4 linked regions of the Caenorhabditis elegans genome follow. The protein of the gene in region 1 interacts with the protein of each later gene in a biochemical or structural test. Each region holds a gene or a part of one and is shown in the gene's direction. Other genes may lie near its edges.

What was found.
Region 2: the proteins of flp-19 (region 1) and dmsr-7 interact in a test that uses a peptide from one of them, tested with the Caenorhabditis elegans proteins (one large-scale study listed by BioGRID).
Region 3: the proteins of flp-19 (region 1) and frpr-9 interact in a test that uses a peptide from one of them, tested with the Caenorhabditis elegans proteins (one large-scale study listed by BioGRID).
Region 4: the proteins of flp-19 (region 1) and frpr-8 interact in a test that uses a peptide from one of them, tested with the Caenorhabditis elegans proteins (one large-scale study listed by BioGRID).

Annotation. Positions count from the first base shown.
Region 1 is NC_003284.9:10,602,724-10,606,371, forward strand, and holds flp-19 (WANQVRF-amide), read left to right. Parts: upstream 1-1,962; 5' UTR 1,963-2,102; coding exon 2,103-2,160; intron 2,161-2,326; coding exon 2,327-2,439; intron 2,440-2,749; coding exon 2,750-2,848; 3' UTR 2,849-3,108; downstream 3,109-3,648. Other genes in the region: Tyrosine-protein kinase abl-1, read right to left, coding at 3,476-3,614. UniProt on the Caenorhabditis elegans protein: FMRFamides and FMRFamide-like peptides are neuropeptides. WANQVRF-amide inhibits the activity of dissected pharyngeal myogenic muscle system.
Region 2 is NC_003283.11:5,403,496-5,408,888, forward strand, and holds dmsr-7 (G-protein coupled receptors family 1 profile domain-containing protein), read left to right. Parts: upstream 1-1,857; 5' UTR 1,858-1,874; coding exon 1,875-1,960; intron 1,961-2,027; coding exon 2,028-2,240; intron 2,241-3,095; coding exon 3,096-3,239; intron 3,240-3,435; coding exon 3,436-3,694; intron 3,695-3,742; coding exon 3,743-3,873; intron 3,874-3,921; coding exon 3,922-4,047; intron 4,048-4,258; coding exon 4,259-4,399; intron 4,400-4,463; coding exon 4,464-4,538; intron 4,539-4,588; coding exon 4,589-4,703; 3' UTR 4,704-4,891; downstream 4,892-5,393. Other genes in the region: C25A6.1 (Serine/threonine-protein phosphatase), read left to right, coding at 5,033-5,356.
Region 3 is NC_003283.11:10,990,357-10,995,478, forward strand, and holds frpr-9 (G-protein coupled receptors family 1 profile domain-containing protein), read left to right. Parts: upstream 1-1,741; 5' UTR 1,742-1,742; coding exon 1,743-1,842; intron 1,843-1,890; coding exon 1,891-1,991; intron 1,992-2,043; coding exon 2,044-2,308; intron 2,309-2,349; coding exon 2,350-2,632; intron 2,633-2,829; coding exon 2,830-2,856; intron 2,857-2,998; coding exon 2,999-3,079; intron 3,080-3,243; coding exon 3,244-3,448; intron 3,449-3,538; coding exon 3,539-3,730; intron 3,731-3,774; coding exon 3,775-3,853; intron 3,854-3,901; coding exon 3,902-4,108; intron 4,109-4,402; coding exon 4,403-4,461; 3' UTR 4,462-4,615; downstream 4,616-5,122.
Region 4 is NC_003284.9:8,696,050-8,703,332, forward strand, and holds frpr-8 (G-protein coupled receptors family 1 profile domain-containing protein), read left to right. Parts: upstream 1-1,767; coding exon 1,768-1,991; intron 1,992-2,869; coding exon 2,870-2,972; intron 2,973-3,259; coding exon 3,260-3,481; intron 3,482-4,485; coding exon 4,486-4,727; intron 4,728-5,059; coding exon 5,060-5,203; intron 5,204-5,696; coding exon 5,697-5,819; intron 5,820-5,867; coding exon 5,868-5,952; intron 5,953-6,107; coding exon 6,108-6,143; intron 6,144-6,647; coding exon 6,648-6,773; downstream 6,774-7,283.

The DNA of each region.
Region 1 (3,648 bases):
CCATCAATGACGTGTATTTTCATAAACTCGAAATAATTGTTACCTTGTATGCTTTAAACTATGTTATGTATTTTTTGAATTTGCTCCATACATTATTTCAAGTGAAAATTGTTTATAAAAGTTGGCTCTAGTCAAAACGTGGTTTTGGAAAAAAAACACATTCACTGTAATCAAATTGTACTGAAATCAAGAAATTTGTTTTTTCTCAAATTTTGTGTTTTTCAAATGCTTTTGCGTCATCAAATTTGATTATCAAATCCCGAAGTCAGAACTTTAGAACCTAAAACTAAAATCGGAATTGAAACTGATGTCATCGTGGGAAAAAAACGGAAACCACATGTTATCACTTATTTATCCCTGATCGTTTGCTGTTAACTGATAGAATAAATGAAAGATGTTTCAACTTAAAATATAATAATATTCCACGTAAGCACTGGATATATTTTATATGTAACTCATCAACAAACAGTGTGATGTACAAATTATTATCATCATAAAAACAGATAAAGTCGAGGTAAATGTAAACGTTTTTAAATACAGACCAACAATTCCTCCGAAAAACTGTTCTTATTTAACTCAACCTTGTTCATAAATAACTTGGATGTGCATCTTGATTTATGACACTTATACAGTGTATTGTCTATTTTCATTGTTTTAGTTTGATAGATCGGAAAACAAGAGCTGAGATTGATTATTTGAAACGAGATTTATGATTCATTAGTCATGTATAACAAGTTCTGACAGAAGATTATGACTACAATGGTAGTAGAGTTTTCCCAGCCGAGTTCTCTATGATTGAGTACAATTTAACTTTCTCTTCTGATGAAAATGCTTTCAATGACGTCAATAGAAAAATCATAGCGTCGCCATAGAAGTGATTTTTTGGCTCCATGGTAGCCCGCCTCAGGAAGTGAGAATTTAAAATTTGAAATTCTAATCGTTTTCGAAAATGCTATTCTGGAAAAGAAACACATGTATGGTGTGTTTTAACTTTTTAGAATAAAAAATTTCTGTGGCACAACACAGAATTTAGCATTAAAATTCATGAAGCTCTCTGCGAGATATGGGTTGAAAACAGCAACAAATTAAAATTTAAATGAAATCTGTTTAATTTTTTGCTCCTTTCCTGCAAGCGCAAGCGTTGATGAGACTTCCGCTCACAAATGAAGTTTTATTTTTACAGCGTCTCTATTGATATCTAAGCGGATTATTTAAATTAAAAATAGTGTTACACTGTTTTTAATTTTCGCTTTCAGAAGTATTAACAATTTTCAAGTTTTATTAACTACACCTTATCAAACCGTTTTGTAACAACTACTTCATTTCTTTGAATTCCCTGCGGTAACATAGACTGAACACAAAATAATATAGAATTATCATGGTACCTGTTCAGTGACTAACTGAGAAAAATGCCAAAAATCACCAAATCCGTTATTAAGCGTCTAGACCGTATGTAGAATTGCTAAGAACAAGAACATTGTACCGCATGAAATAATGGAAAGTAATTTATAACATCTCCAAAATTCAATTTTTTGAAATTGGCCAGCAAAATTGGAACAACTATCATAACAAGTTTTCTCAAACGTTCTTTATTTTTAACTAAGTCGAGAACTGAAACAAACGCATTAAACTTCAATTTTTCTTTTCTTGTTCTTTTATATCCGGAAAACCACATTTCAGATCTCAAATCTAAACTAAGAGAAACTAAAAAAAAGTCTACCTTGAATTATAAAGTAGGTTTGAGAAAGCAACCCACACCTCAACTTTCGTGCTTCCGGATATCTTCAAATATCATCACTTTCTTATTTTCCGGGCTCGAAATACTGGAAAAACTTCTAGGCTGCACATCTTAAAAAGTAGCGGTGACATTCCTCCCATTCCCATCCTTCTCACTTTTGGTTCATTAGCACTATATTCCATAGTGCTCCACCCACATTTCACCGGTTTGTCGCGTCGTCTCTCATTCTTACTATAGAAAACTCTTGAATTCCTTGTAGATATCGCTTCTTAGTCTTTGACAAGCCACGTCCACAAAACCCGCGAGTGCTCTCAACGTGCCTCAAGGAGGACACGCCCACCACTGCTTCATTCATTGCACCGACATGTCCTTCCAGCTAACGCTGTTTTCCATGCTTTTCCTGTTAATTGCCGTAGTCGTCGGTGAGTTTATTTTTTATTAACAATTATCTTTGTCTTGTTCAATTTCAATTTTGTTTTCATTTATTAATATCACAAATCTAAGCCTATATCTCTCAACAGAACATTGTAAACGTGTTAGAGTCTAGACTGTTCTAGCAGAAGAATAGTCAATGAATAGGTATTTCAGGGCAACCAATTCAGTCACAAAATGGTGATTTGAAAATGCAAGCCGTTCAGGACAACTCACCGTTGAATATGGAGGCGTTCAACGACGATTCGGCATTGTACGACTATCTTGAGGTGAGCCATGGGCCAGAGCGGAACAAAAACCCAACTAATTTTGTGTGTTTGTTCATCTCGTTATGGGATTAGGTATCACCGTAGTCTCATCCTTGATGCAAAAAATAATGAGTTTTTTTTCTGATCCACTTCACGTCTATGCATCATTTTTTCTAGAATTCCTTTGAGGTACATAAATAAGCATTTGGGGACGGAAAGAAAACTCGGAGAATGTGAAATATGATTGCATTTAGTCCTTTTCATGTTTCAAAAATAGAATTTTGAATTCAAAAAGTAGAAAGGAATACAAGTTCAATTCAATTTCTTGCAGCAGTCGGACCCTTCTCTCAAGAGCATGGAAAAGAGATGGGCGAATCAAGTGAGGTTCGGTAAGAGGGCATCTTGGGCCAGCTCAGTCAGGTTCGGATAACCGGCTTTGCACAATTTTGACGGTCAGACATGGTTCAATACACCTCAAACAAATTGCGCACATCAAATCAGACTTCAGACGACAATCAGCACACCTTCCTTCTTTCTGTCCATCCTGTCCTTTTATATACGTTTTACCTTCTCCGTCTATACAAATTCTGTCACTTTTGGATTAACTCGCTTTTATTCTCATTACTCAATTCGATTCCATTATTCTTTGTATTGTCAAAAATTTAGCAATAAAGTTTGCGACTTGTTAAACATCGATGAAAGCATTTTATTTCATAATATGATGCATATTAACAATTATGCAGGACTAGAGTGAACATGAAAAGAAAAACAGAAAAAGTGAGAAAGGTTCACATAACAGTCAAAAATTAATGATAAAAGGAAAGAAGACGGTACACCGTTTAGTTGCACTCAGTGTGCAATGAAAAATAATGACAGGAAAAAAAAAAATTGAAGAAGACGAATAATCTCATCAGAAATGGTAGATGGAAGACAAACTACACGTTTTATTCAGTAGTACCTACTTGATGTTTCAGCTGCAGATTCAAAATAAAAAAGGAATCGGAAAAGATATTATGGTGTTTTGGAAGAAACAAACATGATAAAATAGAAAAAAGAATCAGCGATCCACCAGCCTCATGATTTGGTCGAAACAGTCCTGGAACGCCATTTTAAGTTTGTCATCAACTGGCTTCGCTCGAGGGTTGTGGGAAAATTTAATTTGTCGATTGTAGATTTCAAGTTGAGAAAGAAGTTCTCTGAAATTGAAATGTGAAACATTCAAAGTTGGCA
Region 2 (5,393 bases), on another chromosome or scaffold:
GTTCTAGGCCTGTTTGTATCTTTGTATGATAGCAAAAGTCAGAGCCACTGTAACTAAATAATGTGCTCAAACTGAAAAAAAACGGAGGCATTCCAAGCAGCCGCCTGAATCATTCTATCCGGGAGTCTGCACAGCCATCTGAAAGATTAGTCTAGAATTGAGCATTAGGAAACTTGTGGAGGAGCCAGAAGGAACCAAGAAAGGCTCCTCTTCATTGCCCAAAGTTTTGTTGTGATTTGTGCATCCCAATTCTCTCCTCTCACTATTCCTACCCCTCCTTCTAGTCCTTCTTTTTTTTTCCTCCTTTTTGCTCGTCACTTTGAAAATAATGCAGTCTCGTCACTGCTTTTCAAGCACTAGAAGCTGCTTGAACTGCAAATTGAATTTGAGGAGAAGCTTCGCCATTTTGTTTCGAGTAAAAAAGACAATGAACACGTTACGTGCGCAATCCACCATTGGTAGCGCCTCTCCTTCCTCCAGTTTTTGCCCCTTTTCAGCTTTTTTCCTGCATTTTTCTCATTTCTCCCCCAATTAGGCTCTCTGCATTTTAAGGTGTTAGAGAATTAGCTAGGTCACTCTTTTGATTTCTTGAAACAAAGATGAAATGTTCAGTGGTCAATAGTCAATAGGCACATCACTTCAATTCCCAAGGGACTTGAGCTTTCTTTCTTCCCCTTTTGACTGCGCCTGCGCCCCTAAACTTTTTTTTTCCACGTTTTCCTTATTCATAAGTCGTGAGAATATTCGATTTTCCGATTCATCTTCTCTGGAAGATGAATTCATTAACTTTGAATGCCACATTTCTGTCTCGAAATCCATTCTGTTTCAAATGTTTCGGTGTGTGTGAAGCAGCACCACACAACAAACATTTTCACAAGATGGCCCCCTGATTTTATATGTTTTATGGTGGCATGAAATACCAAAGTTTAAAACTTTTATACTTAACTAATAAGTTTCTGTTCTAGGTAGGACTAACATGGTAGGCAGGCGCATAAAATTTGAAAGCAATAAATTTGAATTTCGATTAATTTGATGAAAAGCAGGTGGACCTAACTTTGAAGTCCGGCAGGTAGGCAGTCGTTTGGCGCCTACCTAGAAGCCCTAGATCTAGGTTACATGTTCACAAGAAACAGAAAGTTGAGCGAAAGATTAAACATTCACGAACGAGTGTGCTTCACAATTATAATCATCGCAATTATAAAACTGCTGAAAAATATGCTTACTATGTTTTAAAAGACTAGTCTTGCCAAGATAAGTTGGCAGGCATGCCTACATGCCTACCAATTATTTTGTGCATTTTCAAGATCTGCTGAAATCGAAAAAAATTATTTTAAAATGTTTTAAACCCAAATAATAAATATTTTGATAAATATGGCTCTCTTTTACGGTTTCGAGTGTCATTTTTTTTTAAACATGCAAAATTTACAAAAGAATTTACGCGTTTTTTGCAATTTTTCGCTCACTTTGTTTTCGAAAACAAACAAATCTACCGCCCTGGCCGGCAAAAAAATAGGTTTTTTGGTTTTTTTTACTCTAGGAAATAGTTTTTAAAAAATAAAAATCTTCAATCAAAGATTTTTACAATTTTTCAAAGTATTTTCCTGCTATAGAAATAACAACTCACGGAACAAAAATAACTTCCGGCCAGTGACCTATAATTTTGTAAATTTTTTGAAAAACGAAATTATATATTTTGTTCGAAAACTCGATCAGCTTCTTCCACAACAACCGACTGTCATCTAAAAGTTCAAAAAACACAGAACGCATTCCACCCTGTTGCTCTTGGCTTCTTCTGATTTTCTCCTTATGTTTCTTTGTTTCAATGGTCTTTAAAAACCCCTTAAATTTTCAACATTTTGAAGGATGTGCTAGATATGGAATGTCCGCACGATGCTCAGTTGTTTGATCCGAACAGTAACAGTACGCAGGCATTTCTTCGGAAACTTGCACATTTTCAAAGGTTTGTTAAACTATTTTTTGTGCACTTCTTTCAAAAAAAGAAAAATGAACCAATGATTAATTGTCAGATGGTACCAGCCAATTCACGGATATGTATGTGTGCTCATCTGCGTTTTTGGTATCTTCACCAATTTTGTGCATGTGGCAGTTTTATCGAGACCCAACATGCGCAATTCGGCCGTCAACTGCATACTGACAGCAGTGGCTGTCTGTGATATCGGAACAATGGCATCCTATCTCATTTATATTATACATTTTGTCTTACGACGAAATAATTCCTGGTAATTCTTGTGTGTTTATTGGGTGGAAATGTTTTTGTTTTGGGAAATGGAGCGGCGTGGCGGCTTTTGAGTAGGAACATCAACAAATATGGAATTTTTGGAAAAATAACACAAGCTTTAAAATATTTATTTTCTGGTTTTTCCTATTCCAATTTTATGGTGAATTGCAAAACCCGGAAAATGTCGGTCACTTCATAAAAAGGATGTAGAGTTCGAAGGCGCTGATTGGTTTAAAAATAGTCATGGCTTCTCATTTTGGAAAAATTCAAATATGAAAATTCGCAATTTCAAAAATTGGACATTTTTAAATCTTTCTCGATTTTTTAAGTTTCCTTTTTTTTTGATTATGCAGCATATATTTGAATATTTCGAATACTTTGAAACAAAATCCTTATTTTCCAAACTCTACCTCAAACCATTAATAACAAGAATTCAAACTAAGTGTGCTCTTTCTATTGAAAATTTTGAAGGATATTTATATTCTTCTATTTTTCCACTCAAGTATCAACACACACACACAAAAAAACATCCTCAAAGTAATAATGGAATTTCAAAAGTTGAATGCCCATGTTCGTCACTTGCTGCACTTAATTGAAGAGGCATAGAATTTTAGTTGAACCTGGAACTATTTATTTCCTCCTATCCGTTTTATGTGCATCAAAACATGAAAACAACTGCATATTTTATTGATCATAGGAAATTTTGAAAATCGTCACAAAGCTACAAACTACGTGTATTCATAAATAACAAAAGTGAATTCAAGATGAAAAGTCGCTCGTAAAATGATACTGAAAAACACGAAAACAAGCGTTTGCAATGAAACTCAATAATTTTTATTATTAGATTTTATTACAGCACTCCAACGTTCACTCATTCTTGGTTACAATTCCTATTGTGGCATGTTGTTTTGAGCATCACACTACACACAACTTCTTTATGGCTCGCTGTGGCGATGGCGTTCATTCGGAGGATGACATTAAGGGTTACCGCTTTGAATAGGTATGCTGGGAGCAAAGTTTAAGGGACTAACATTTTTTTATACACTAAGATGAACAAGTTTTGTAATGAAAGTTTTCAAAATTTTTTTCAAACAATGGTAGGTATCCAAAAATATTTAAAATTGAAATTTTACAAAGACATTGCAAGCAATATACCCAGAAACGTTGGCCCCCTTAAAAAATCTGGAAATTTTCAGTCAATGGCAACGACCAAAGTTCGCATGGAAGTTGTGCCTGGGAATCTATATGGTCGTATTTGTACTTTGTATTCCAAATATGCTGGTCCACGAAATCGCCCGTGTAGAAGGAAATGACTGGCGACCTGGCAAAACGTGTCAAAAATTTGCATCGAACTACTCTGAACCGGTGTACACTTTTATGGTCAGCCACGCGGCGACTATCAACAATTGCCGGTTGTTTAAATGGAATATTTGGATGATTGGAATTCTGTTCAAGGTTAGCGAGTACGCGAGTTATCAAATTAAACGTCCTACCAGTTTTCAGATCATTCCATGTATTCTGCTAATTTTCTTGTCTTTCGGCCTTGTATCAAAGATTAGAGACGCAGAAAAGCATCGGAGGAAACTAACGAGTGTTCCGTCAAATGCATCAACAGATTCAAAACCATTGAAAAAGTATAGTCAACTCTCAAAGAACTTTTATGACAAAATGGAAATTTTCAGAAAGAATGGAACATCAGATAGAACCACATTGATGCTTGTTGTTATTTTATTGGTATTTTTAATAACGGAGTTTCCACAAGGAATCATCTCGATTCTTTGCGCAATTTTTACTACAGACGTTCATAGGTAAGATTTGATGTTTAACTAGAAATTTGGCCTGGAAAAACTGAAATCGAACTGCCCCAAGCTTGACCCAATTTTTCTTGAGTCATTTGAATTTTTGGAAATTTGGGTGCAGGCTGAGTCTTGCAAAAGTGTTGCTAAATTTTTGTTGGCCCAATTAAAGCTAAAATTGGGCGCTAAAGAAGTTTTCGAAAAATTAAATTTTCCATTTCAGATACCTCTATTTCTACATTGGTGATGTTCTTGATCTCCTATCGCTTGTCAATTCCTCTGTAAATTTTGTTTTATATTGTGTGATGTCTTCAAGATACCGGCAGACGTTTTGGGAAGTTATCATTCCTTCGTGGGCTTGTGGGTAAGTTCATTCTTATTGAACCAGTTCCTGTTACAGTAGTCTAAAATAAAATTTTTCCTCTCAGATTGTGGACGACCCGTCGTGGTTCTCCGACGGAACTTTCACAGCTTCAGTTGAACAACAGCTTACGACTAGGAAGGTCAGTTAATTTGTTTTTGAAGTCTGGAAAATATTATCTTTAATTTGCAGAAAACAAAGCTATACGCCACTGGCAACTGAACCGGAACCAGCACGCAATGAGTATTGGCGGTATGAAGCTTCCGTGTCGGACAATCAGAACAGCAGTAGAGAACATCAACTTTAAATTCCAATTTTTTCGATCTCGGTACAAATTCCCTTTGCAGATTTTTTGTGATATCTTGCTCATTTTCATAGCTTTCGCATTTTCTATTCTATTCTTGTTACGGGTACTTTTTGTTTTTTATTAATTCAGTTTTTATATAAATCAATATGGTTTACAAAATTATTAAATTATTCACGGCGCCGTGAAAAAAAAATTGTTTACAAAAAGACACGTAGATGTGAGTAAAACTAGGAAAAAAAATTATTTTCAATTGAAAGTGATTTCCGAAAGGTGAGTTCTCTTTTTCTCTTCCAGGAATCAAAAGTTAAAAAGGTTTGATGTTTTAGATTATGAAAGACGACGTCGTTGACAACATAATAATTGATGTCCTGAGCGCTAGTACTCACGAAAAGCTACTTTCCGAAGTGATCACGGAAGGACGAGTTCTAAAGCTTCTCGATTTGGCACTGGATGTATTTAAAAGACAGAAATCAATGGTTGAAATGAATGCTCCGATAAAGGTGTGCGGTGACATCCATGGACAATTCCCGGATCTTCTTCGTCTCTTCCATCGTGGTGGATGGCCGCCGACTGCGAATTATTTATTCCTTGGTGACTATGTGGACCGTGGAAGATTTAGCATTGAAACCATTGTTCTTCTTCTCGCTTATAAGGTTTGTTGCTTTAAGTTTTGCAAAAAGAAGCTAGGAT
Region 3 (5,122 bases), on another chromosome or scaffold:
CCTCGTTTGTCTTTTCTCATTTTTATTGTTTTTGTTTTTGACGGATTTTGAATTTTCATCAAAAAAAAGTTCAAAATCTATTGTTCTCAAGCCGGAACTTTTTATTTAAAATTAAAAAAAAAACCCCCAATAGAGTGTCTTAAAATTCCATTTAAATTCCATAATGTTTATTGGCAAAAATACGATTAATTGACTGTGAGAATTGTAACTTGAAATTCATGCAATTATATCACTTCTCATAAAATATATAATCGAACAGATTATCGATAGAAGTAGAAGCTCTTGTTAAATCTTTCTTCGTCTTGGAAGGGGATTCCGTGAGTCTCAGCAAATGAACAGCAATAAATTGAGCTATCGTCGCCTACGTTCATTCTGCTTGATAGTTTTTTGTTGAAGACGTGCTTGAATTTCTATCGGCTATAAATAGATTATTCGAAAATTCCAATTGACTGAACACGGCTCCGCCAAGCTTTCTTTGTTCGCTTAGATTTTTGAGATTCATATTTCAAGTTTTATTCATTTGTCGTTGAATATCCATCGCGACTGTGTATACTTACAGTTTTACGTCCGAATGATTTATTTTTATTACTAGTAAGACTCACGAAACTTACGTTAGCGACTTCACTTCTCCCAATATCCATTCCGCCGAATCGTTGGGTGACGGGTAAGCTTCTCCCCCGTTTTTTATTGTTAGATCGCCCTCATGGCGCCCTAACAATAGCTTTGTGGAAATGTTTTGTCATGTTTTTTATATGTTTCTGTACAGTTTTGTTTTTTTTTCCTTTTTCTTTTTTTGGGTACTTTGTTTGGGTAAATCAAGAAGAGCCGGGCGAGCGTAAGTCGTGCCTTTGTAGAATATATGTAATTTTTTCAAAGTAATTCCATTTTTTTCTTCAATTTCTCCCCCAGAACGGTAAAAGTTTTGATTTGAATTCTATCTTATTGTAAATAAGGTTCACCGTAGCTGTTATTGAAATGCAAATTAAACAGCGGAAGTCAAGTTCTTATTATCGAAAAATGCACGTTTACTTTTTTGAATAAATTTTCGAAATAAATTTTTTCACATCATTTTATAGAACTGAATAATTTGATCGATTTTAAAACATTGCGATCGAGCGTTCCTTTTATTAAGTTTGGTTCATTCAATCATTCCGATTGATGAGTTATTATTTTATATGGTTTATGTGTGAACTTCATTGAATTCAAATCTGATATTATTAGCATTGTTCAAAATGTTCGGAAATTATCAGTTTTATACATTGTGTTAAAAACGAATGATATCATATACTAATTTGCACTTTTAACAAATATATCAAGAATATACTGAAAAAAAAAGAATATCGGAAGCAAAGACTACATGGCATTAATTGAATAATGAACTAAATCTCACAAAGCCTTTCCTCACATTCACAAAATATAAAATAAAAAGGATTAATAATGTAGACCAATATCTTTTAGATTCTATATTTAGTTAACTTCATACTTGAATATTCACCTCCGTTTCCTCCTACACTTCTTAATCTTTCAATTTCAATTGAAGACCTTGGATATTAATAGTTAAATTTTGATTTTATCGAGATATGCACCGGTCACTCTCAACATTTTCTTTTCTTATTAATCGTTTTGATTCATTTTTTGTTTCTTTCTCTGTTTGTATTTCCAATGTTTTTTACCTGCATAAACTCTCCACCTCTTTCTCTATCTTAAAAAATGACGGATTTCAAGTTCGTGCTTTCAGACTGATGACATCTACTGTCATCTACGTTCCAGACATTCAAGAATTACCAGAATGTGAGCCATCAGTATTCAATGATATTCAGGCAACCATTCGATTATTCGGAGGTATTATAAAATTCTGTTTATTTTTATGAAAAAATTAATTAATTCCAGGCATGCCAATTGCTATATTTGGTTTTATCACAAACGTGATCAATGTGATAGTATTTTGTGATCCAGAGATGCGATGTTCTCTTGTAAATCATTTTTTATTGGTGAGAAACTTTTAATTTCCATCTAAAAAAATTTCTGATATACTGTATTCAGGTGCTCTCAATTTCCGATCTAGTACTTTTGGTGTGTAATTTCTTTATGCTCATATTCCCAGTTATTGCATCAATGAGCAATAGCTATTTGTTACATGATTATTATCCTGTATTTCTGTGGTTTGCGTATCCAGTTGGATTGAGTACACAAACTTGTGGTGTTTATCTCACAGTTCTGGTTTCTGTGCACAGATATTTAGGAGTTTGTCATCCTTTTCGAGCAAAACGATGGGTTTCTGGAAAACCTGTTAAATGGGCAATTATTGGTAAGTGCATAATTTTTTTTTTAATTTGTTCATTTTTTCAGGCTCAATAATCTTCAGTATAGTAATAAATCTTCATACGTGGCTTGAATTGGACATTCGTCCTTGCTATTCTATCAACTTCAATGCACCTATCAGTTCAATTATATTAACAAGTTTGAGACAAAAATCATCATACAATTTGATAACAAAATGTATAATGTATACATTGATAATGTTCATCATTCCATTCATTACACTTATAATAGTTAATTGTCGAATTGTGGTTGCATTGAAAGAATCAACGAGAATGAGAAATGGTCAATCAATGAAGAAAAGCACACAATCGTAAGTTTTTTTTCTGGATCAAAGTTTTTATTTTAATGGCAACTTGAAGTTTTTTTTCTGAATTCTTCTAGAGATTCAATAAAAGAAATCCCATAAGGCTTTTGAATTTATTTCTAAAAAATAAAGGAAATAAACCGAGGGACGGAACTTTAAAAAAACATGTTAAAATTTTACACTAAAAAATTAAACTGTTCCAGTAGATTCACCTGGAAATCTCTCGACAAGTAAGTTTGGTTATGTTAGTCATTTATTTTGGCCTGCATATTTTCCCCCGCGTGTTTTCCTGAATTACCCTTTTGGAATGGCGTGCTTGCTTAGCTTTTGTCAGGATTTGTGTATACGATATTATCTTTTTATCATTTTCAGACGAATTATGAATAATTTTCGGATGCTCAAAGGTGCCAAATACAGTGAGTTATTTGGAAGGTTCGGGCGACTCAATTTCAAGTAAGTGAAAAGTGAAACTTTTTTCATTTAAATTGGAACTTTAAAATGTCTAAAAATACTGAGAGACAGCCATTTTTGTTAATTTTCAAGAAAATTAGTTTAACAATATAAAATCATATTAAAGACGAATCTTCATTTTGAATTACATAACATTATAATTTCAGCCCGTTGAAAACGCCATCACTTCTAAAAACAAATGGAAATTCTCTTCGTGATCGTTCTGTAACTCTTATGCTTCTTGCAATTGTTGCCATATTTCTCTGCTGTAATTGTCTTGCATTCTGCAACAACATCTACGAAAACGTGCAACATGTAAAAAAACATGCATCGGATTCTCAATCCCTGAATCAAACTTCATTTGTTCCAGAGGTAACCCATTTTTATACTTTAACGTACACTCAAAATTAATCTCTGAAAAATCGGAATAATTTTACAAATAAACTTCCTAATAATTTCCAGATCGAAGAACAATCACAAGATTATGATGGTGAATGGAGCATTTTTAATGAATGGAACTTTGACCTTTCTGTTGAAATATCAAATCTTCTAATCAGTTTGAATTCATCCAGTTCTATGTTTGTATATCTGATTTTTTCATCAAAGTACAGATCAATTATCAAACACTGGCTGGGATTAGAGAAGAGAAAAAGAGTATGAAAATATCTGAAATTCTAAAACAAAAATTTGATTTTCAGACAAATGGAGTTGCCTTAACAACAGTGATGGCCGCTCAGAAAGCATTGGAGCTTTCGATTCTTCCAGATGAAGTTGAAGGTGATTAGTTCTGTACTATGTGTTATCATTCAATTTAAAAATTTCCAGCCCGTCGTCATAGAAAAGAAAAATCACATTTTGTAAAAAATAAGAAACAAATGAACAAATCAGCTCAATTATTTCTCACAACATCAGAAATTGATCTTCGAAAAGCAAGAACGATTCGAAAAGAACAAGAAGACGAAGAAGAAGAAGAGGAAGAGATTCGAGAAATTCAAAGCGATGAGCCAAGTGCAGCCAGTAATCTTTCTAGAGGTATAAGGTCTAAACATAAAACACGAAAAATATTTTTCTTGACTATTTCTTATTGACATTTGGCTGATCAGCCCGTCATGCGATACCAAAATTTGTGGAGCATTATTTGAAAACTTTGGGTCAAGTGAAAATAATAAGTATTTCCACAAATCAAAAAACCCTGCGCGTTATACAAAAAGTTGTTGCCCTTAAAATGCTTTTGAGAAAAAACTCATTTATCCTAAGCACTAATTTGTTTTAAAATTAATTTCTACTTTTTGACAAACGTGTTCAGTAATAATACAATTTTTTCAGATGATCAAAACCGTTCAAGCTCGAAACGAAAACTTCTTCGATTTGCCACTCTCGCCTAAAATCTAATTCACTTGTTTATATTTGTAAAAGAATTTTCCTCTTTATTTTACGGGTTTTTAAAAATTGATCTCGAACGTTTCCTCCAGTTCAATTATTCTCAACTTTTCTTTTGTTTCCATTTTATGACCTCAATGAAGATATAATAATGATAAAAAAGATTTTAAAGTGAGATTGGTGTGTGGGCTCTCATGGCAGGGAGCCGTTCAATTGTCGACAATATATCATTTTGTGCATTAGGTCGGACTTCTCTAACCATTGAGATTCAGGTGAGGAGCAAGAGAATGCTCAACGCATTTCTTCCAGTTGCTTTTTTTAAGTTCGCACTTTTCACGATGGATAGTTATTAGTATCATTTCTACGATTTCATAGACTTTAACAACATTTCGTTTAAGTTCTGGAGCTTGATGTGAAGTTATGGCAGTATGACTAGTTTACCTGCAAAAATACTGTTACAAATACTCCACTTTTCGAAATTATTTTCATAATACAAAGTTAAGAGGACAGATTTATGTTCCTCATAAACTTTGAGCATGAACAAAATTAAAATACTATCTATGTATACATACGTAACATCTCTGCTGTAACTTTTTCAATAATAGTCCTGTATGATCATATTTCACTTTGGCCCCATTGTGGCAAAGACTTAGGATATGCTTCACA
Region 4 (7,283 bases), 1.9 Mb from region 1:
TTGCTCTCATTCATGATTCATTCGATATGTGAACTTTTTTCTACTTCCACTTTTAGTATTTATTCGTTTTAAATAAGTATGAAATGAATAATCCACCTCTTGCTTTTTTTGCAGTTCCTATAAGTTCACGAATGTATTTTTCATATCCATTTCCTTCATTTTCAATTTAATTCGATAATTATCGTTATAGTTTTTAAGACTATTTTTCCGTACACAACTTTGCACATAATGACTATCTGAGTCAAGCTCACTTTTCCGCTAAAATGAATACGCAAGAATATCAAGAGCTCACTTTTAGAACTTCGATATTTTTGTTTTTCTTAGAGTGAATACATCTTCCAAAAATACATCGAATGTTTTTTCCAAGAAAATGCTCGTTTGAACAACGAGTGTAAAAATATGTCCTTGAGCTATGAATTATGAAATATGTGAATGGTCAACTAGAGCTTGCCAAAAAATATGAATTTTTTCTTCAAAGTCTTCAATTTAAAGTATATATTTTATCCGGAAATTACAATGACATCATGTTAATTTTCTTTTTTTTTAAACTTTTTTTCATTTTGGTGAGTGAGTATATCTACAATTAGAATGAATAAGTTGATCAAAATCGTTTGAAAAAATTTTATCATTGTATTATTTTACATATAAAAGTTAAAAATACAAAGAATCCAATTTTCAAACTCTTTTTCTAAACAGAAACAAGTCTTTATCGCTCTTTGATTTTGGTTTGGGTACAATATCTCAGTAAAACCATACTTCTTTAACTAATCTTGTATTTTGACAAATCATATTTAAAGTGAGTTTTCGTAAATTATTATTCCCCGTAATTGGAACAGGTTTCAAATATCAAATAACATTTCTTCAATCATCATTGCTTATTCAAAGAACCTCCTTTGTTTTTGTGAAAGCTACGTGATGATACCAGCCGTTCACGACTTTTTGGCTTCCACTTCTCCGCTAACATATTCATTACTGACCATGCAGTCCCCTTTTTCTCAGTAGTTATTCACAAATTCTTGATACTATATATAGTCGAACATCATAAAAATGACTAGTAGTATATTTCAATTCTGCTTCGTCTTTTCATTGATGCCCTACTATTTACCAGAACTCACTTTTTTGAAGCCATTTTGTAAGGCATCAATAAAGTAAGACTAGTTAGTCTTGAAGATCCAACTGTTTTTTTGTTTTGAAAAGAAAGAAAAACTTAAGAAATTAGTGGATGGTTTTGTTCAAAATTTTCGAAAATAAGTGTATTTTCTCCTAGACTTTTTGAAAGTACGAGTAACAAAAACGTATCTTACTGAAATTGTCAACTATGTGTTTTTGTTTTAAATTTTCACTCTTATCTTAGTTTACTTTCTTTTTCTTAACAAACCAAAACTCTGATTTTGAAAAAAAGTTCTCATTTAATTATTCGCTCGAATAAACTAATTACAAGTTCATTTTTGTGTTAGTATGTATACCATAAATTTTACTTCCTACTTTCTCCGAAGTTTCATATATATTCGTTTTGTTTTACAAGTTTTATATTGAAGAATTTAGTCACCTAATACCATTTTCAAGGATGTATGTTAATCGTTAAATTTGAATAGACCCCTACGTCACTGCTTCTTTTTTTCAACTTTTGAACTTTGGTTGCTCCGTCTTCGCTTTTTTGTTTCGTTTCAACCAAAACTCAATTATCTCTTAGTTAGAGCCTTTTTTCTTTCTAAAACCAATTTTTATCGTGTTCCAGTGTGTGCCACACCACTTCGGCCTCTGGCTATGAACTCGACAGTTATTTCGCTTCTTAATAATTCTACACTGGTCACTACGGATCAGCCAGGTTTTTCTGGAAGTACAAAAGGAACATGCAGCTATCCAACTAATTTTGCGGAGGTCGATTACATTAGCACATATATTTACCTGCTTGCCATTCCAACAATTTGCGTGCTGGGAGCCGGCGCTGCGGTAATGTGCATTGTGGTGTTCACTAGGAAACAAATGAGGTTCGTTTTATTGAAGAGTACTTGTGAGAGTATATCTAGAAAGGACTGAATTCGAATTACCTATCCACTTCACTTTTTAAGTTAGAAAATATAAGAGACGCAAAGAAAATCTGTTCCCCGCAACGAAAAGACTTCGAACGTTTTGAGAAAGGACGACGAAGTCACGTGGCTTACGGAAACGTGTACGAGGGAAACTTTTTCATTTTTCTGCGTCTATATCTTCTAACAAACACAGTAACGTGGATAGGTAATATGTTTAATCATTATTTCTAAAAAAATGAATATGTGATGCGTGTATATCTGTACCCCAAATGGTTCACAGGAAAATAATAATTTTTATATGAAAAAAAAACGATAGCAGTTTTTTTTTTCACAAATTATGTTTCTGCCTTTTTTGTCGAATAAAGAAGGAGTCTTGTCCAACAAGTAAATCAAAAATAAAGTTAGGGAAACACCAAATGTTTTTCCCTGATAAAAATACGCTATTTAGTTCTAAAAATAAATATTTATTAGCCTATATATTTATAAAAATTTACCTCACATTAGTCAAAAACGAGCTATAGCTTTAGGCTGCTATTCATTTCAAAAAATGATCAAAAACTATTCAAATAAATCTTTCAATTTGTTCTTGCTGCACAATTCAATTGAAACAGTGATTTCAAATTTTCTTGGCCCTTAATAAACATTTTAATTCATGTACAACTGACGACATTTTTATGATTTTTTTTGATTGTATTAATCTTTTTGAAAAATTAATGACATCAAATTGTTCCCCATTTATTTAGTTTTAATTTTCTTTGGTAGTCTGTTCAAATACTCATTTCAAGAAAAAAGAGCAAATAAGGATACATAGAAATACAAAATATTTTTAACTTCAGATCATCACTCAACGTATATCTTGCCGGATTATCGGTTTTCGATCTTATCCTGCTTTCATTCAGTGCTCTGATCTTTTCACCTCTCCAAGGTTGCGTTTTGCAGGTGAGCGTAGATAACTGGTTGATATTCAGTGGAATTTGTAATGAGATGAAGAAATGTCCATCAATTTATTCATCGATAAGCTCATAGCACGGAAAGAGAAATGAAAAAAGTTATTTATGATATTGAAGAGGGATTTAATATTTCTCAAAACTTCGAGTTTCATCAAGGTCTGAAATAATTTTCTAATGTCTTAGAAACTGCGTATAATTTATGTTTCCAGAAATATGAATGTTTCAGAACACCACTAAAAACAACTATGTTAGCAATAATTCAAATAAACTATTCAGGGTCACGGGGACACCGCGGTTTGTCATTTCTTCTGGAGATCAACTCCTTGGACGTTACCCATATCAAATATCGCACAATGTGGTAGTGTCTGGACATGTGTTGCAGTGACGGTGGATCGATTTCTTGCTGTTAACTATCCGCTTCATAGCAAAATTTGGTGCACACCGCGCCGAGCAACAACAATACTTATTGCGATTACGGTTTTTAGCATATTGTTCAAAGTAAGTACAAGAATTGTCAATTTTTTATTTTGTATTTCGAAATACACACAACGTTTTAAAGTTTCGTATCCTGACTATTATGGTCTAAAGTAATGTTTTTATAATATATCAAATTTGCATATTACGGAAGTCTGTTGCTACGATAATTGTAGTTTAAAGGTTTTTTAAAATAAAATTTCTTGTGAAAACAAACATCAATGCTATTAGAGTTTGTGACCCCAGTTTTAAAATCATTCAAGCATTCAGAATATTAAACATGTCAGCACACTGTTCATTGATAATAAGTTGATCACTGTGTGAAAATGTTCAATTTTATTTTAGAATTTTTAAAATATACATTTGCGTGTGTATATCAAAACACAAGAGCTACTGACTTTGATTTCTAAGACACCGGGGAAAACATGAAAGTTGAAAAAAAATTAATTCGTAATTTACATTATCACAAAATTAAAAATTCTGTGGAGGAAAAGCAGATGAGCTTGAAATTCCAGTATTTATAATATTTAATATTAACTCGAAAATCGCTGTTTTTTATAAATTATTTTCCATCAGATTGTAATTTTACAAATTGAAAAAAAGTACACTCAAAAACACTAGAAAACTTACAATACGCTTTTTAGGTTCCCCTAGTTTCAATGAATAACTTAGAGATTTTTCAATATTTAGCAGTGCTGTGCGGCCCTTGAAAAAAGTCGGCTCTCGGCGCAAGCCGCACAGCACTGATATTTAGCTCAAAATTTAATTTAAAAAAAATGAGTTAGGTACAATTATACAAAATCCCTACCTTTTTTCATCTTGTTTTAATTTTACGGCCAACTTGAACCACGCAAAACTTTTAGGTTGTGAATACAACATTGGTAGTTTCTTTTTTTGTGTTATTTTCTGATTCAAAAGACTATATGGATTGTTATTCTAAATGTTCTAAATTAATGTACTACTTTGCAAACTGAGGAACATCGTAATAAGTTTAGTAGGCGACTATCCGTGATACAAGTCATCTTCAGGCACCAATGTTCTTCGAGTTGACCAACGATGACTGTGGTCGACTGAGAACCTCATTTCTGCGGGATAATAAGTACTACAAAGAGTACTACGTAACATTTGGGTACCTCATCGCGCTGTTATTGATTCCATGGACAGTAATGATTATACTGAATGTGTTTGTGGTAAAGGCTGTACACAAGGCGTATAAGATTCGGAGGTCTATGCAAGGAGGAAAAAATAATCAAGAAGAAAAAGATCGGAGGTGTGGTTTTATCATTTTTATTTTTAATTATTTTTTAAACTTTGGTTTCACCAGTTTTTTGATGTTAAGTTCGGTTCTCTAGTTTCTTAAAAATTTTCAAATACATCGATTTACATTTTTTAATGATTATTTATTTTTCTTATTTCAAGCATGGACTGCTAACGTTTATTACAAGAACCGAACCAGCTTTTTTGATTTTTGCATGTTTTTGTTATTTTTTATTATCTGAAAACAACTATCGCTCAGAACTTTTCTCCCTCTTTTTTTTCGATTCGACAAAATTCAAAAACAGTAGAAAACAGTTTGTCTCCCAAGTTCAGAAACAGTCTCAGATGCACTCTTATGGCCATCGCTATGGTGCTCACTTTCTTGATCTTCAACGTAGTAGCAGCAGTGAACAACTTGGCTGAGACGGTGTTCGAAGTGAGCTTAGGATTTTGGAGTCCCATTGGAAATTTGCTAATTTGTTTAAACAGGTAAGAAGTTTTAGTAATTATAACGTGTTAGAAGCTGTGTGCTCGAAAAACTTTAGAATCGGTTTCTACATGAAAGTGGCAGAGAGCACATTAGTATGGAAAAAGAAACTTTTCCGGGTTACTTTTTGGGTTCAATCTGTCTTTTCGAAATGTTTTCCAAATATTGCCATGATTTTAAGATGCTTTGAAACACTGAAAATGACCCTAAGTAATTTCAAAAAAATTTTCAAAGAAGTCTGAATCAAGTTCGGTGAAATAAATCATTCAATCTAAAAGTTTAAAATCCTCAACATCAACGCAAACTTTTGAAAATGAACAAGTAAACATTTTATACCAAACACCACCTTCCAATTTTATATCACAGAGGTTATAAAATTGGAAGTGCATGATGCTGAATCGTTTTTCAAATAGAGTTATTGAATGAAAAATAAATGAACTTAAGCCCTAGTGTGGCAAGGTTTTTGAATTGTATGTATGAACAAATAACCTTTAGCGCTTCCAACATCGTGATCTACTCGTTATTCGGAGCCCGATTTCGTCAAATGTGTGTCCTCATGCTTTGCGGGCGACAAAGTCGATGGATGGAGTGGCTCAAAGTTGGAAGGTACCCACCTCAGTAATTCTATCACTGCATTGTTCAAATTTTCTAAAAATTGTCATTCAGGAGCATGGTCAGTGATTGGGATGGTAGAGATGGTACGACGAGGAAAACTAGTTTGGACGCCAGTACTGCTCTGTTAAGTGCGAGGGTAAGCTTTAAAAAAAGTAAATCGGTACATTCATTATTAATTATTCTTCTTTAATGAACATTCTCGATTAATTGAAAACAATTTCATATTTCTTTACTATGCTTTTGCTTTTTGGTATACTGCTTTGTAAATTGTTTTCAAAAGAACCATTACAGCGAATGACGATTTCGAATTTCATAACCTACCCGGTGGTAAGTTTTGTGTGGAAAATAGAAATAATATTGTCTAGAAACGCATTTAGTTCGTGTGCAGTTTCATTTTCTCCCCGGACTGATTTGCATGTACCTTACCCATTTTCCCCAATATACTTAATCTCCAACCTCTTAGAGTTTTTATTTGATTTATTTTTTGATTTCTTGATAATATTGGTTCTAACATAATTTGTTCTGATTGGAAACTGGGGTTAATGCGTTTTAAATAGAGTAGTTTATAAATTTGAAGCAAATTTTTTTAATATGATAACTGTGGAAAGCGGACAAAATTTTTTAAACAAGTTTCACAGTTTAATTATCTTTCCATCAATAATATTTAAACAATATAGCTGTTTCGTTACTGTTTTGGTAATTTGTTAATTTACCGAAAGTTTGACGTTCATATTTGAAACATCCATTTTTTCTTTAGTAATTAACTATAATACTCAAACATACAGTATGTAAAATAAAGTTTCCATAAAGTTTCAAAAATTTGTGTTTCAGAGTTCTCGCCGATGGAGTAAACGGAGTCAAAGTGGTGCACCACATCAAGCAGCTCCTGCTCGAAAAGATACAGTAATCTACACAAGTGCTCAAAACAGACTTTCGCTTCAAAGCGCACCTTCATAACGGAAAACACGTCAAACCTTTATCATGTTTCTGTATATATCTTTACTGCACATCTTCATGGATTTTGTTAATTTGAGCATTTTTTCGATACCATGTATTATTTGATAAGAACTGCAATATCATTATGAATTGAACGCTTCATTTCTGTTTTGTTTTTTTTTGTTTCGTTTCTAATATTTATTTTTCACCTGCCTGCCATAATCAAAAGTTACTAGTTACAAATTGTCTAGTCTAAAAGTAGTACTGGTCATCTCCCTCCAAAATCATCCCGATTCTTGCGATCTCTTTTGTATTCATTTTCTTGGGTTGCTAACATTTGACCAATTCATTTCAGCTTGGCTAGTTTTACTTAAGTGTCACTAAAAATTGCTCGGAAAATTGTTAATTGAGTCCAAGTTTGATTATTTCAGACTTATATAGTTTTATATTTTCTCCGCAATTTTTGAATTCACGTTTTTGGATGATAATGCTCAAGATTTCATTGTGAAATACAGCAATGGTCCAATAAAG